Rattus norvegicus: one gene and its partners. The protein of the gene in region 2 interacts with the protein of the main gene of each other region in a pairwise test. Links are inferred from orthologs where the notes say so. Each region holds a gene or a part of one and is shown on either strand. Other genes may lie near its edges.

Region 1 (2,783 bases), on a different chromosome or scaffold from region 2:
AAAAGCTATACTCACACACACATACATACACACAATAGCACACACAAAAAATGTGCAGATCTGTAACATTTTTCACAGCTGATTAAAAAAAAATACTACCATTCTCCCCCCAGACTCCCCTTTGATACAGTAGGTAATCAAAATAGATTTTTTTTCCCACAAATATCAGCAGACACTTCCTGGCACCCCACACTGTATTGGCATCAGTGCTTAACAGTCCCAGTTCACATGTGCAATACTTCAGATTGGATACACTGTAACAAGAACCCAACTTTGCATAGACATCCTCAGAATCCTAATCAGTCCCTGGGTTGCCCTTCCAAGCTGGCAGAAAAGGAACCCCTAGTCGTAATTTCCAAATAATCCTGGAAAACAAGGGAAAAAAAAGTTTTGTCCCCTCTTCTGGCTCCTTCGTATGATTTTCTGGGACCTCTTTCCTTGTGTTAAAACTTGGAACTGTGAACAGTTGCTTGGGGGAACCCTCCCCCACTGCCTCCTTCCCCTCCACTTCCTCTGCTTCCCCACCCCCATTTTTTTTTCCAGGCTTGAAACTTTCGCTTGCCGGTGTCAAGCAGCCAATACAGAGCCTTAATGGCTACTTTAACGGGGAAAAATGCATTAACCAAAATCAACGAGGAACGTACACGCTGTATAGAGCCATTTTTCCATCAGGGTCTCAGATGCTCAGCAACGGACACCCCCTCGGACCACAGCTGAAGGCTAGGGATGCTGGCCACACAAGTCAGCCAGGTTCCTCGGACATCCCAGCCAATACAACAAAGTCGTCTCCAATCTCAAAGCAAGAAGACAATCACATTAAGAGAATCGGGTGCGTTTGGCTTTGTGCACAGAGCGTGGCCAGCGCCCGGCGGCAGACAGCGCCTCACAGGATCACACAGGCCGAGCAGCAGCCCTCGTCGCCGTTGGGCTGTGCCGCGTAGTTCATCTGCCTCACGATCTCTGCGAATAGCTCATCCACTGAGGCTTTGTTTTTGGCCGATGTTTCCATGAAGGGGCAGCTCCACTCCTCGGCCAGGGCCTTGCCCTCGCCATAGGAGACCTCACGTTCGCCCTCCAGGTCCACCTTGTTGCCTACCAGGATCATGGGTACGCGCTCGTACCGTTTCACGCGGATGATCTGGTCCCGCATGGGCTTGATGTCCTGGAAGCTCTGCTGGTTGACCAGGCTGTAGACGAGGATGAAGCCCTGGCCATTCTTGATGTACAGGTCCCGCATGGAAGCGAACTGCTCCGTGCCCGCGGTGTCCAGGATCTCCAGAACCGACGGCGACGAATCCACCTCGATCTCCTTGCGGTAAAAGTCTTCAATGGTTGGGTCGTACTTCTCGATGAAGGAACCTGTTACGAACTGCACGGTGAGCGCGGACTTGCCCACGCCACCCGAGCCCAGTACCACCACTTTGTACTCTCTCATGGCTCCGTCGGCGCCCTCGTCGCGCCTGCCGCGGCCCCGTCGGGGCTGCGCGCCGGGGAAGGCTGGGTTGGGCGGGCGGGTGGACTTCTCCCCTTCCTCAACTCCGCAGGAACAACCCTGGCGAGACTAGCCCGGTAGCACGGGCTCGCCAACAGGCTAGCAGAGCCCCGCGCCGGGCCGACCGGCAGCGGGGGCGCGTCCCTAGGGCGCGGGTCCCGGGCCCCGCAGCAGTCCTGGCGGAGGACCCTGAGGACAATGCGCGCAGTCGGAGCAAGACAACGGCTGGAGCTCTTCGCCACGGCAGCCTGGGAGGGCCGGGAGGCGGTGGCGGCTGGTTGCAGAGGCGGCTGCTAATTGTGCGTCCGGCTGAGACACGCGTGGCATGAGTCCCCACGGAACGTGCGTCCAGCTCCGCGGCCCATCACTCTCTCCTCTCTCTCCCGCAGCCTTCGCTGGGCGAGGGCTTCCTACTCGCCGCGCGCAGCCCGGCCCTCCCCGCCCAGCGGAGCATGCCCAGTGCGCCGCCCGCGGTGCCCCGCCCGAGCTCCGCTCCAGCTTTTCCGCCGCATCGGGAGTGGGCGTGGTAGAGGGAGGGGCAATCAGGGACTGGGCGGGGCGGGGGCGGGGCGGCGCGAATCTTGGAACTGGGCAACCCGGCTTGTCTGTGCTTGTAGGTGGAAAGCTCTCCAAACCCAAGCCACCACCACCGTCTGGGCTCCGCGGGCCTCCTGAGGGCGCAGCAGACAGCAGCTGGCTGTGACCTCCTCGTCGGCTTCCGCTGTTAAAGGATAAGACACCTATTCCTAAACCCAGGCCGCTGCGCACCTCTAAGAATCATACACTTGCAGGGCATTTTTCAGGCCGGGGAAGGTATAGAGAGGCTCGGGCCCCAACTTGGCACTATGTTCCCGTGTCATTTCCCCTCGAAGAACTCGGCTTGAGTCCCTGTCCGGACCAGGAGCTAGCGGGTGGGAATTTGTGGGTCGCCACAGCCTTCGGGGCAGGAGTTGCCGGGTCATCCTACCTCCCCTTTGGCTAGAGCCAAAACCAGGCTAGTGGATCGAGCCCCGCGGAAGGCCCGCGGCTCCCGCACCCAGTCAGGGCATGCTCAGTCGGCAGAGCAGGTTCGGGGCTTGCAAGTAGGAAGGTTTCGCACCGCACACCCACACGCCAGCTCAAATTACCTCTCCCAGACTCCCAACTCATTGGCCCCAGGATGTGAGTCTCACACCCCCAAATGTTTTCCCATTGGCTGTTCCCGAGGTTTTGTCACTTTAGACAGCTTCATTGGCTGGAAAGTCGCCTCCGCTTAGGATTGGTTATTTATAGAGATTGAGTGGAGAGGCGG
Region 2 (4,038 bases):
CTTCCCTCCTCTTCAGGGGTGTTTGCCCCAGGGGAGGGGCTTCAGCCTTGCCCTGTGCCCCACTTCCTTCTGTAGTTCCCATCCCCCGAGTGGGACACCGTTACCCCTGAAGCCAAAAACCTCATCAACCAGATGTTGACCATCAACCCCGCCAAGCGCATCACGGCCCACGAGGCCCTGAAGCACCCATGGGTCTGCGTAAGTCGTCCTTGGCAACCTCTAGGGGCCAGTTCCTGGTGGGTCTATCCAGGGCCCCTAAGATGGCCCCGGGCTTCTGTTCCTTGTGTCCGACCACTCCCCTGATCTGTGAAGGACAAGACTCTTGAACTTGGAAATAGGTTGGGGACAGCAGGTGGGAACAAGTGATCTCTCGCTGTTGTGGTGGCTGGCCCTAGAGTGCCATCACCCTGAACCCCTCTCCTAAGCCTCCTTGGTTCCCCCTCTGGAGGCAAGGCTGATACTTCTGTAGATCCTCACTGCCCTGCGACTTCCCTTCTCCCAACAGCAACGATCCACGGTGGCCTCCATGATGCACAGACAGGAGACTGTGGAATGTCTGAAGAAGTTCAATGCAAGGAGGAAGCTCAAGGTAGGCAGGACTCAGACCCCATCCCTGCATCCTGGGGGGGCCCCATGCTGGAAGTAGGGGTGTTAGTGGGGCCTTCAAAAGAGGAAGCAGGAGAAACCCCCCAAATCCATGCCTGTTCACGAGTCCAGATCAGAGGATTCCAGATTCTGGGACAGCTCAGAGGGGCGAGCTTGGCCCTGAGTGCAGAGCATCCTGAGGGCTGAAGGAGTGCTGGCCCAGAGCAGGTTCAGTAAAGGGCAGAGCAGAAGGGCCTGGTGGGCCCAGCAGGTTAGAGAGGCAGGCGGACAGGCCTGATCCTGAGAGTTGCTGGCCAGCTAAGGACAGGGTTAGCCCTGGGAACCATTGCTCAATTGAGCTTCCCCAAAGCCCCAAGGGCAGCCCTGGCTTCCCTGGGCCCGTTAAAGGAGTGGTTCTCAACTCAAGGGTCGAGATACCCTGCAAAACCTTCATAATGTAACAGTAGCAGAATCACAGTTATGAAGTAGTAACGAGATAACTTTATGGTGGAAGGTCACCAGGACATGAGGAACTACCTTGGGGTGTCACAGCATTTAGGAAGTTCAAGAACCACTGGGCTAGCTGTCATGGTGGCAGGCCTTCCTGGCCATGCTCACTTCTCAGGAGTCTTGACGCTGTGATTTATGGGTAGCATGAGCCTTAGCTATGGGCGTGTGGCTTCCCTCAGTGCAGCTGCCAGGCTCTGGAATTCTTACTTCTCTGGGAGACCGAGCAGGGGGGACAGAAGCAGACACTAACAGGGTGGCCCTGTCTCTGTTTCTCCTTAGGGAGCCATCCTCACCACTATGCTGGCCACACGGAATTTCTCAGGTGAGACATTCTTCTCCAGGGAAGACGGTGTTTGAGTCCCACCCTCGTTCTACAGAAAGCCCCCTCCTTCTTCATCGGCCCCCCCGCCCCTTTCCTCCAGGCTGGCGGGGGCCCAGTTTCTGTCCTCACCTCTAAGATCCTCTACCCAGAAGGCCTTTTGGCTTTTCTCGTTGGGTAGCTACTGAGGTCTGCTATGCCCCAGTCCTGCCTCCTCCGTGTCGTTGGGTCTGTGTCCCTTACTTGACACCCCAGTGTCTGTGCTGCCAACACCTGGCCTGCCACCTGTATCCGTCCAAGCATCTGTTGGGCAGCCCTGTGGCCTCCTTGTCCTCAGTTCTCTGAGCATCGTGTTGTGTGTGGGAGACAGCCGAAGTGGGGGTGGATGAGATTGAGGTCCGCGCACGGGGTGACTTGTAAGTGGGCCGCCTACCCTGGTTGTTTGGGTGGGTGATGGGAAAATGAAGTCTCAAGGGTCTGTTAGAGACCCATGGGGCCCGCGTGGGGGGACAGTGTTGGCCCCAGTGCCCGGACAGCTATGTCTGTGGCTTCTTCGTCGTCTGACACTATGTGCGAGCGTTCATGGTCGTCTCTCCTTGTGCGTCTGCATCTGGTACCCTGCCTCCTGTTACTTTGCTGTGATGCTGTACTGCCGGGAATGGGCACACAGTCACATCAACACTAATGGGACTGTCCTGTCTGCTGTGTGCCCCGCATGCCCCACAGGGCACAAGAAGCCCCACTGGGGTGTTCTAAGGAGAAAGGAGGCAAATGCTTTCCAGTGTCTATCGGCCCAGTCTTGTTTCACTATCCTGAGAAAGGGATTCTGGAGCCATCCCCTACCTAAACTTTAACTCTAATCTTCTTCTGCTTCCTTTGTCTCTTCTCTTTCCTCACCTCGCCCTTCCCCACGTCTGTGTCCGCCCCCTTCCCCCCCTCGTCTCTAACCCGGTGCTAACAGTGGGCAGACAGACCACCGCTCCGGCCACAATGTCCACCGCGGCCTCCGGCACCACCATGGGGCTGGTGGAACAAGGTAGATGTGTCTTGCCCAGTGTCCACCCGCTCCTGCCCATCCCTCCTGTTGGCATGCAGCCCCCCTGCTGCACGCAGCCACTGGCCAGACCCCCAGAGCCTCCCCGGAGGCAGGCAGTCCCCTGGGAGCTCTGCTCCTGTCACATCCCAGCTGAAGCCCTGCCCTGGGCAATAAGGCTGCCCCTCACTCTTGTCTCATCATCTGTAAGAGAGAGGTCACATCAAATCCCAGATGCATTTGCCTGAGACCCTTGGTTCTGCCTCTGGATGTCTGGAGACCCAATTCAGAGTGACCCTGATCTCACAGGAGCCACTAAGCCTGCTGCTGGAGGGTATCAGCCCTGAAAGGGGAGCCCTTGGATCAGGGCTTGGGGATAGAGACATGTCCCAAGGATCTGTAGGGCCCAAGGGTCTGGTGGTCTGTGCTACAATTCCTCAGAGTGAAAGTGGGGTGCTATCAGTGTCTGGAACTGAAGGGTTCTTTCTGAAGACCCTTCTTACTTGGTCCCGAACTCCCTTAGGGGAGGAGGTAACCTCCATCAATCTGTCCCTTTGATGGTGTGAGACCTTCTGAGGGCTCAGTGACCCAGAGCCCTCACCACGGGGTCCGTAGTCACCACCCAAACTGAATGCCAGCCAGCAGCACAAGGTTCGAGTCGCCACTGAACACATAGACCCAAGCCAAGCTTCAGCTTCTCCTAAAGCCTTGAGAGTCAGCTGAGGATCGAGCACGGGTTTCCCAGCCAGCTGAGGACCAGCCCTTTCCACACGCCTGCCCACACCCACCTCACAACACCACTAGGACCACAGCAATGATCACCTACTAGAGGATCCTCCTCCTGGGGGATGCTTAGGTCACCCTAGGCTTGTCTGTTCTGCCCACAGGGGCCCGTTGTAGACGCTCCCAAGTAATTATATAAAGCTAGCGGCTGTCAGGGCGGCCCTATTGCCAGGGGACAGTGGCGTGAGACAGGTCACCTCTGAGCCATGCTCCGCCCAGGACTTCTGCTGCAATGCTCGCCTGCCTGCAAGTGAGCCGGGGCAACCTTGCATGAGGCTGCCTGCATGTTGTGGTTCTGCCCCAGGAGCTGAGGGTCCCTCTGTCCTGGAGGGAGGTCAGTGCATGTCAACAAAGCTCGGCATGGCTGTCCACGGTGACTAGAGAGAGAGAGCAAGGCAGAGCTGAAGGTCCCATCTACTCCGTTAGGTCGGCCCAGCCCAACCACACACGAAGGGCACACATTGGGGGTCTTCCTTCTCCGTGATTCTGTCCGAGCACCTTGACAGCTGTAGACCCTTGCTGTAGAGCGTTTTTGCACTTTGGCTCCCACCACCCCGCCCCCATTGAGCAGACATGCGCAGTAAGGTGCCTTGTGACTGTCAGGCTGGCTGGCTGTGGGCTGGAGGTAATGGCTTGGCCTGAGACCTGGAAATGGAAAATGCCCTCCTCCTGAGTTGGGAGTACAGATCTGAAGAGCCCCCAACTCTAAGTATCTGGAATCCCCCCTCCCCCACCATGTTTGTTTAGTCCACTTTGGCTCCGGCTGCACCTTCTAAATCCTTTTGACTCGAGACACCGCAGAAGTGGC
Region 3 (4,500 bases), on a different chromosome or scaffold from region 2:
TCCTCTTAGCCACCTCTCACAATCCTCCACGTTTTCTTTTCCTTTTCCATTTCCCTGTGTGTGCAATGTACATGTTTCTGCATGCATGTCCCAAAGTGCCTAACTACACAAGGGAGTGAGAACAAAGACTACAAACACCACTTGATTCAAATGCCATTCCCTAGAAAGCAAGTAATGAAATCATCTGCTTCCAATAAAAAGAAAGAGAGAGAGAAAGAAAGAAAGAAAGAAAGAAAGAAGGAAAGAGGGGCTGGAGAGATGGCTCAGCGGTTAAGAGCACCCGACTGCTCTTCCAGAGGTCATGAGTTCAATTCCCAGCAACCACATGGTGGCTCACAACCATCTGTAAAGAGATCTGATGCCCTCTTCTGGTGTATCTGAAGACAGCTACAGTGTACTTATATATATAATAAATGAATAAATAAAAAAAATTAAAAAAAAAAGAAGGAAAGAAAGAAGGAAAGAAAGGGAAGCGATAAAGTATGCCTAAGAAGCTAGTGGGAAATTAGGTCTGACTGGAATGAGGGTTCAGAGACTGCGTTTCAAAAGTGCCGGGAAAATTTCTTCCCTTTGTACAAATAGTGGTAAATGCCTTCTTGGTGCAAGTATTGTTCTAAAGCAACGTGTGTTACTGAGCTGTCACAATGATTCTGAAAGGTACCTATAGTATCCGTGGTGCCCAACATGAAATAGCTAACAGAAACAGTAACCTAACCCTAGCCCTAACTTTTTGTCTAGCTATAAATCAGGTTCATAGCTAGAGCAGCAGTCTACGTTTCGTTTCCGTCTATAATCATATTGCCTTTCATGAAAAACACACACACACACACACACACACACACACACACACACACACACACACACACACACACACACACACACACACACACACACACACACACACACACACACACACACACACACACACACGAAACAAAAGACTCAAGGGACTCCTTTGAATAACTTGCTCCATTTCAAACACTAAGATATCACTGTGTCCAGCAGATGGCAACCCAGAGCTCAGTCAACAGCAAGCGCAGGATAAAGAGCTAAAACTACAATACTACAATACCTACAATGCTGTGCGGAGACTCAAAGTCCTGATCTCCTGTTTGGCTGTCTAAGGCGATGCCTGTGGGCACTGCTGAAGGAATGTGTATACTGAAACCATATATGTTCTTGTCCTGACTTCAGAGCGCAAAGTTCAATTCATTTTTAAATTCCGTAACTCGTTTTTCAGTCGAAGAGCTGTATGCCTGAAACAAGACTGTTCTTTTTTGGCCACATTTACCCTAGCCCAACACGAGGGCCCTTGACCTCTGACCCAAAATGACAGCGCTCAGATCGTAGTTCTTGACTTCTCCGAGGCGGACTAAGGTTAAAATCCTATATCATGTCGAAGCTAAGCCGGGTCACTCGGACCCTCAAGAAGCCCGAGGCCGGCGGCGTGATCCGGTCCATCGTGCGAGCAGGCCAAGCTATCCCTGGGCCTCCATTAGGTCCCATTTTGGGTCAGGTGCGGTGTCTGGAAGCCGGCTTGGGAGACGTGGGAGAGTGCTCTGGAGCCCGGGAGGTCTCCTTTATAAACCTGTCTCCGCTATTCACACCTTCAGGCCTTAGGTTCTTGTATTACTTACGTAGCCTCTTTTGACCATCAAGTTGGCTACTTGCTGATTAAGTGGCACCTTGTGGACGAATCGCCTGGCACCCAAAGCCGTAGTTGAACCTGGGTAGAAGAAATATCGGAACACAAAAAAAATGAAGATGGCGGGGACGGGGGGACTGGAGCTCCTGGTTGATAGGAAGCCTTCAGCTCCCACACTTAACTTTGTTTTTTTTTTTTTTTTTTTGTCTTGTTTTGTTTTGTTTTGTTTTGTTTTGTTGTTTTGTTGTTTTGTTTCCGGAGCTGAGGACCGAACCCAGGGCCTTGCGCTTGCTAGGCTAGGCAAGCGCTCTACCACTGAGCTAAATCCCCAACCCCTCACACTTAACTTTGTATATGCTTTCCTCATAGCGAGGTGTCTCTATCAACCAGTTCTGCAAAGAGTTCAATGAAAAAACAAAGGACATCAAAGAAGGCATTCCCTTGCCTACAAAAATTTTTATAAAGGTACAGAGACGAATTCTCCCATATACTTCCTTGGCACTTGAAACTAGTCATCCCGGTTGCTTCTCTGTCCCTAACTTGGTTGCCAACTTCCACTTCTCATTTACACAGAAGCCTAGACCATAATTTCTCTGAACTGGCTTGATCCTGCCATATTGTGATTCTGACCTCTCATCTCACAGGGGTTCCAGAGGAGAATTGTGCTAGGAATAAAAATGACAGGGATGTGGACTGTAGATCTGCCCATCCTGCCTTCTCTGGTGTTAAAGACAACACCGCAGGAATGCAAGTTGATGGGAAGTTAAGGGACATTAGAAATGTCTTGGACCAGATAGAAAACCAAGAAATTCTCATGTATCTTTTTCTGTTAAGCCCGACAGAACATTTGAGCTCAAGATTGGGCAGCCCACTATTTCCTACTTTTTGAAGGCAGCTGCTGGGATTGAGAAGGGGGCCCGGCAAACAGGTAAGGGCTACAGGGGGCACCTGAGATTCTGATGTATCCAGAGAAATAGTGGCACTAGAAGAATGACGACCTGTTCCTTCTTCCCAGGGAAAGAGGTGGCAGGTCTGGTGAGTTTGAAGCACGTATACGAGATTGCCCGTGTCAAAGCTAAGGATGAGGCTTTTGCCATGCAAGATGTACCCCTGTCTTCTATTGTCCGTTCCATCATTGGCTCTGCCCGCTCCCTGGGCATTCGTGTGGTGAAAGAGTGAGTATCTTGAGAGGAATGGTGTACAAAGGAAACCAAGAAAGTTCTTGATTTGGGAGAAAGCCTATTGCAATGAAAAAGTCAGGTTTTTTTTTTAAATTTATAGCATATATTAGTTAAGCATATTAACTTCGTTGTGACATTTTCATACATGTCTAGCTTTCTAGCAGACTCTAGCAGAAGGATATGGAGCCTCATCTCGTTTGGATGAGTATCTCTTCTGTAGTAGACATGGCTCTGGACACCGCACAGAACCAGGAATGAACAGTGGTGCTCGGCCACTCTGGAGAAATATGTAGTCCTAAATAGAGACAGATCCATACATAGAGGCTTAGGCTAACAGGTGGTCAGTTATAAAACCAGTGGATGTCATGAGAGCAGAGAGGAGAGTTCCTGCTTTTCCCTTGTGTCATTGATGACTCTGAGGGAGGTAACATCAAAACAGCCCAGGAAAAGGAGGGTAGGAGAGCAAATGTTCCAAAAGGTGGAAAAATTGCAGGGAACAATGAGAGATAAGGTGTTGAAGCTAAGTTCGTTGTGGTTTAGGAGTCTCGTCTAGAGAGGCAGATGGGATATGGCCTGAGGGAGGGACCAGACAGAAGGGTCTTTTGAGCCAACAACCACACAAGTCAGCTGGCTTTGGATGATCTCAGGAATCGTTTCCTTGAAGTAACTTGTCAAGTAGGAGAGCATTTGGCCCAGAGCACAGCAGAGGCAGGAACTGGGTCAGTCATCACTGGTTGCTTGCTGCTGGTGTCTTTCCCTACAGCAAGGCTGGCATCAGTTGTACCTCAGGGGTGAGGTTAGAGCACAGTCTGCCTTAAAGTATGCAGCTCTGTGACTCTCTCACTTGAAGTGTTTGTGGCTCAGAGGAAGGGCTGGGAATCCTAAAGGTATAGTAGAGGCCACAGGTTCCGTAGGTCTTTAAAATAGGAGCCACAGTAGAGGATGGTAGTGTATGTGGGTTGTGGTTCCAGGCAGAGAAACTGCAGATGAGCAAAGGTAAGAAAGTTGGAAAGTCCAGGGAGGGACGTGGGCAGGGCAGCTGGGGTCTGCGCCAGGCTCCGCCCCTCACTGACCATCGCTCTTCCTGTAGCCTCAGTGTAGACGAACTGGCAGCTTTTCAGAAGGAACGGGCCGTGTTTTTGGCTGCTCAGAAAGAGGCGGATTTGGCAGCTCAGGCAGAAGCTGCCAAAAAGTGACCCCAACCTTCTACACTCTGAAGTGAGAGACTGAGAAGGGGGCCCACCGAGGAAGCTGAGCCAAAGGACTCCATGGCAACCCGATTTATAGTTTCCTGACTTCTGTACATATGCTGTGCCACAGGATCGAGCCTGAATAAACGTCCTTTGTCATAAGCTCTCAACTTCTTTCCTGAGACCCGAGATGGGGACTAACACTGACAGCTACCACTCTTCACAGGCGTGAGCTGCCCCACAGGTGAACAGGAACCTTAGCGCTTGTCTGCCTCACAGTACAGTAAGGTGGAAACAGTCACATACATGGAGCCATCTGTGTAAGGTAGCCTCCACCTGGAGCAACCCTCTCCTTAAGGCCAACATTAATGAAGGTTGGACTCCCAGCATCCTCCACCAGACCACACTTTTAAAAATTATATTTATTCATTTTCTTTTATATATGACTGTTTGTATGTATGTATGTGCACCATATACATGCTAG

What was found. The genes of interacting proteins can lie anywhere in the genome.
Region 1: the proteins of Camk2b (region 2) and Rap2b interact in binary tests that used the Homo sapiens proteins (3 or more experiments, as listed by UniProt). The two-hybrid records come from large-scale screens. The link is inferred for Rattus norvegicus from reciprocal best matches to the Homo sapiens genes CAMK2B and RAP2B.
Region 3: the proteins of Camk2b (region 2) and mrpl11 interact in binary tests that used the Homo sapiens proteins (3 or more experiments, as listed by UniProt). The two-hybrid records come from large-scale screens. The link is inferred for Rattus norvegicus from reciprocal best matches to the Homo sapiens genes CAMK2B and MRPL11.

The regions. Positions count from the first base shown.
Region 1 is NC_086020.1:147,748,039-147,750,821, reverse strand, and holds Rap2b (ras-related protein Rap-2b), read right to left. Parts: upstream 1,436-2,783; coding exon 884-1,435; downstream 1-883. UniProt on the Homo sapiens protein: Small GTP-binding protein which cycles between a GDP-bound inactive and a GTP-bound active form. Involved in EGFR and CHRM3 signaling pathways through stimulation of PLCE1.
Region 2 is NC_086032.1:85,074,511-85,078,548, reverse strand, and holds part of Camk2b (calcium/calmodulin-dependent protein kinase type II subunit beta), read left to right. Parts: intron 1-75; coding exon 76-198; intron 199-505; coding exon 506-589; intron 590-1,374; coding exon 1,375-1,417; intron 1,418-2,375; coding exon 2,376-2,450; intron 2,451-4,038. UniProt on the Homo sapiens protein: Calcium/calmodulin-dependent protein kinase that functions autonomously after Ca(2+)/calmodulin-binding and autophosphorylation, and is involved in dendritic spine and synapse formation, neuronal plasticity and regulation of sarcoplasmic reticulum Ca(2+) transport in skeletal muscle.
Region 3 is NC_086019.1:211,692,490-211,696,989, forward strand, and holds mrpl11 (large ribosomal subunit protein uL11m), read left to right. Parts: upstream 1-1,317; 5' UTR 1,318-1,393; coding exon 1,394-1,516; intron 1,517-2,014; coding exon 2,015-2,110; intron 2,111-2,479; coding exon 2,480-2,573; intron 2,574-2,660; coding exon 2,661-2,820; intron 2,821-3,916; coding exon 3,917-4,022; 3' UTR 4,023-4,178; downstream 4,179-4,500.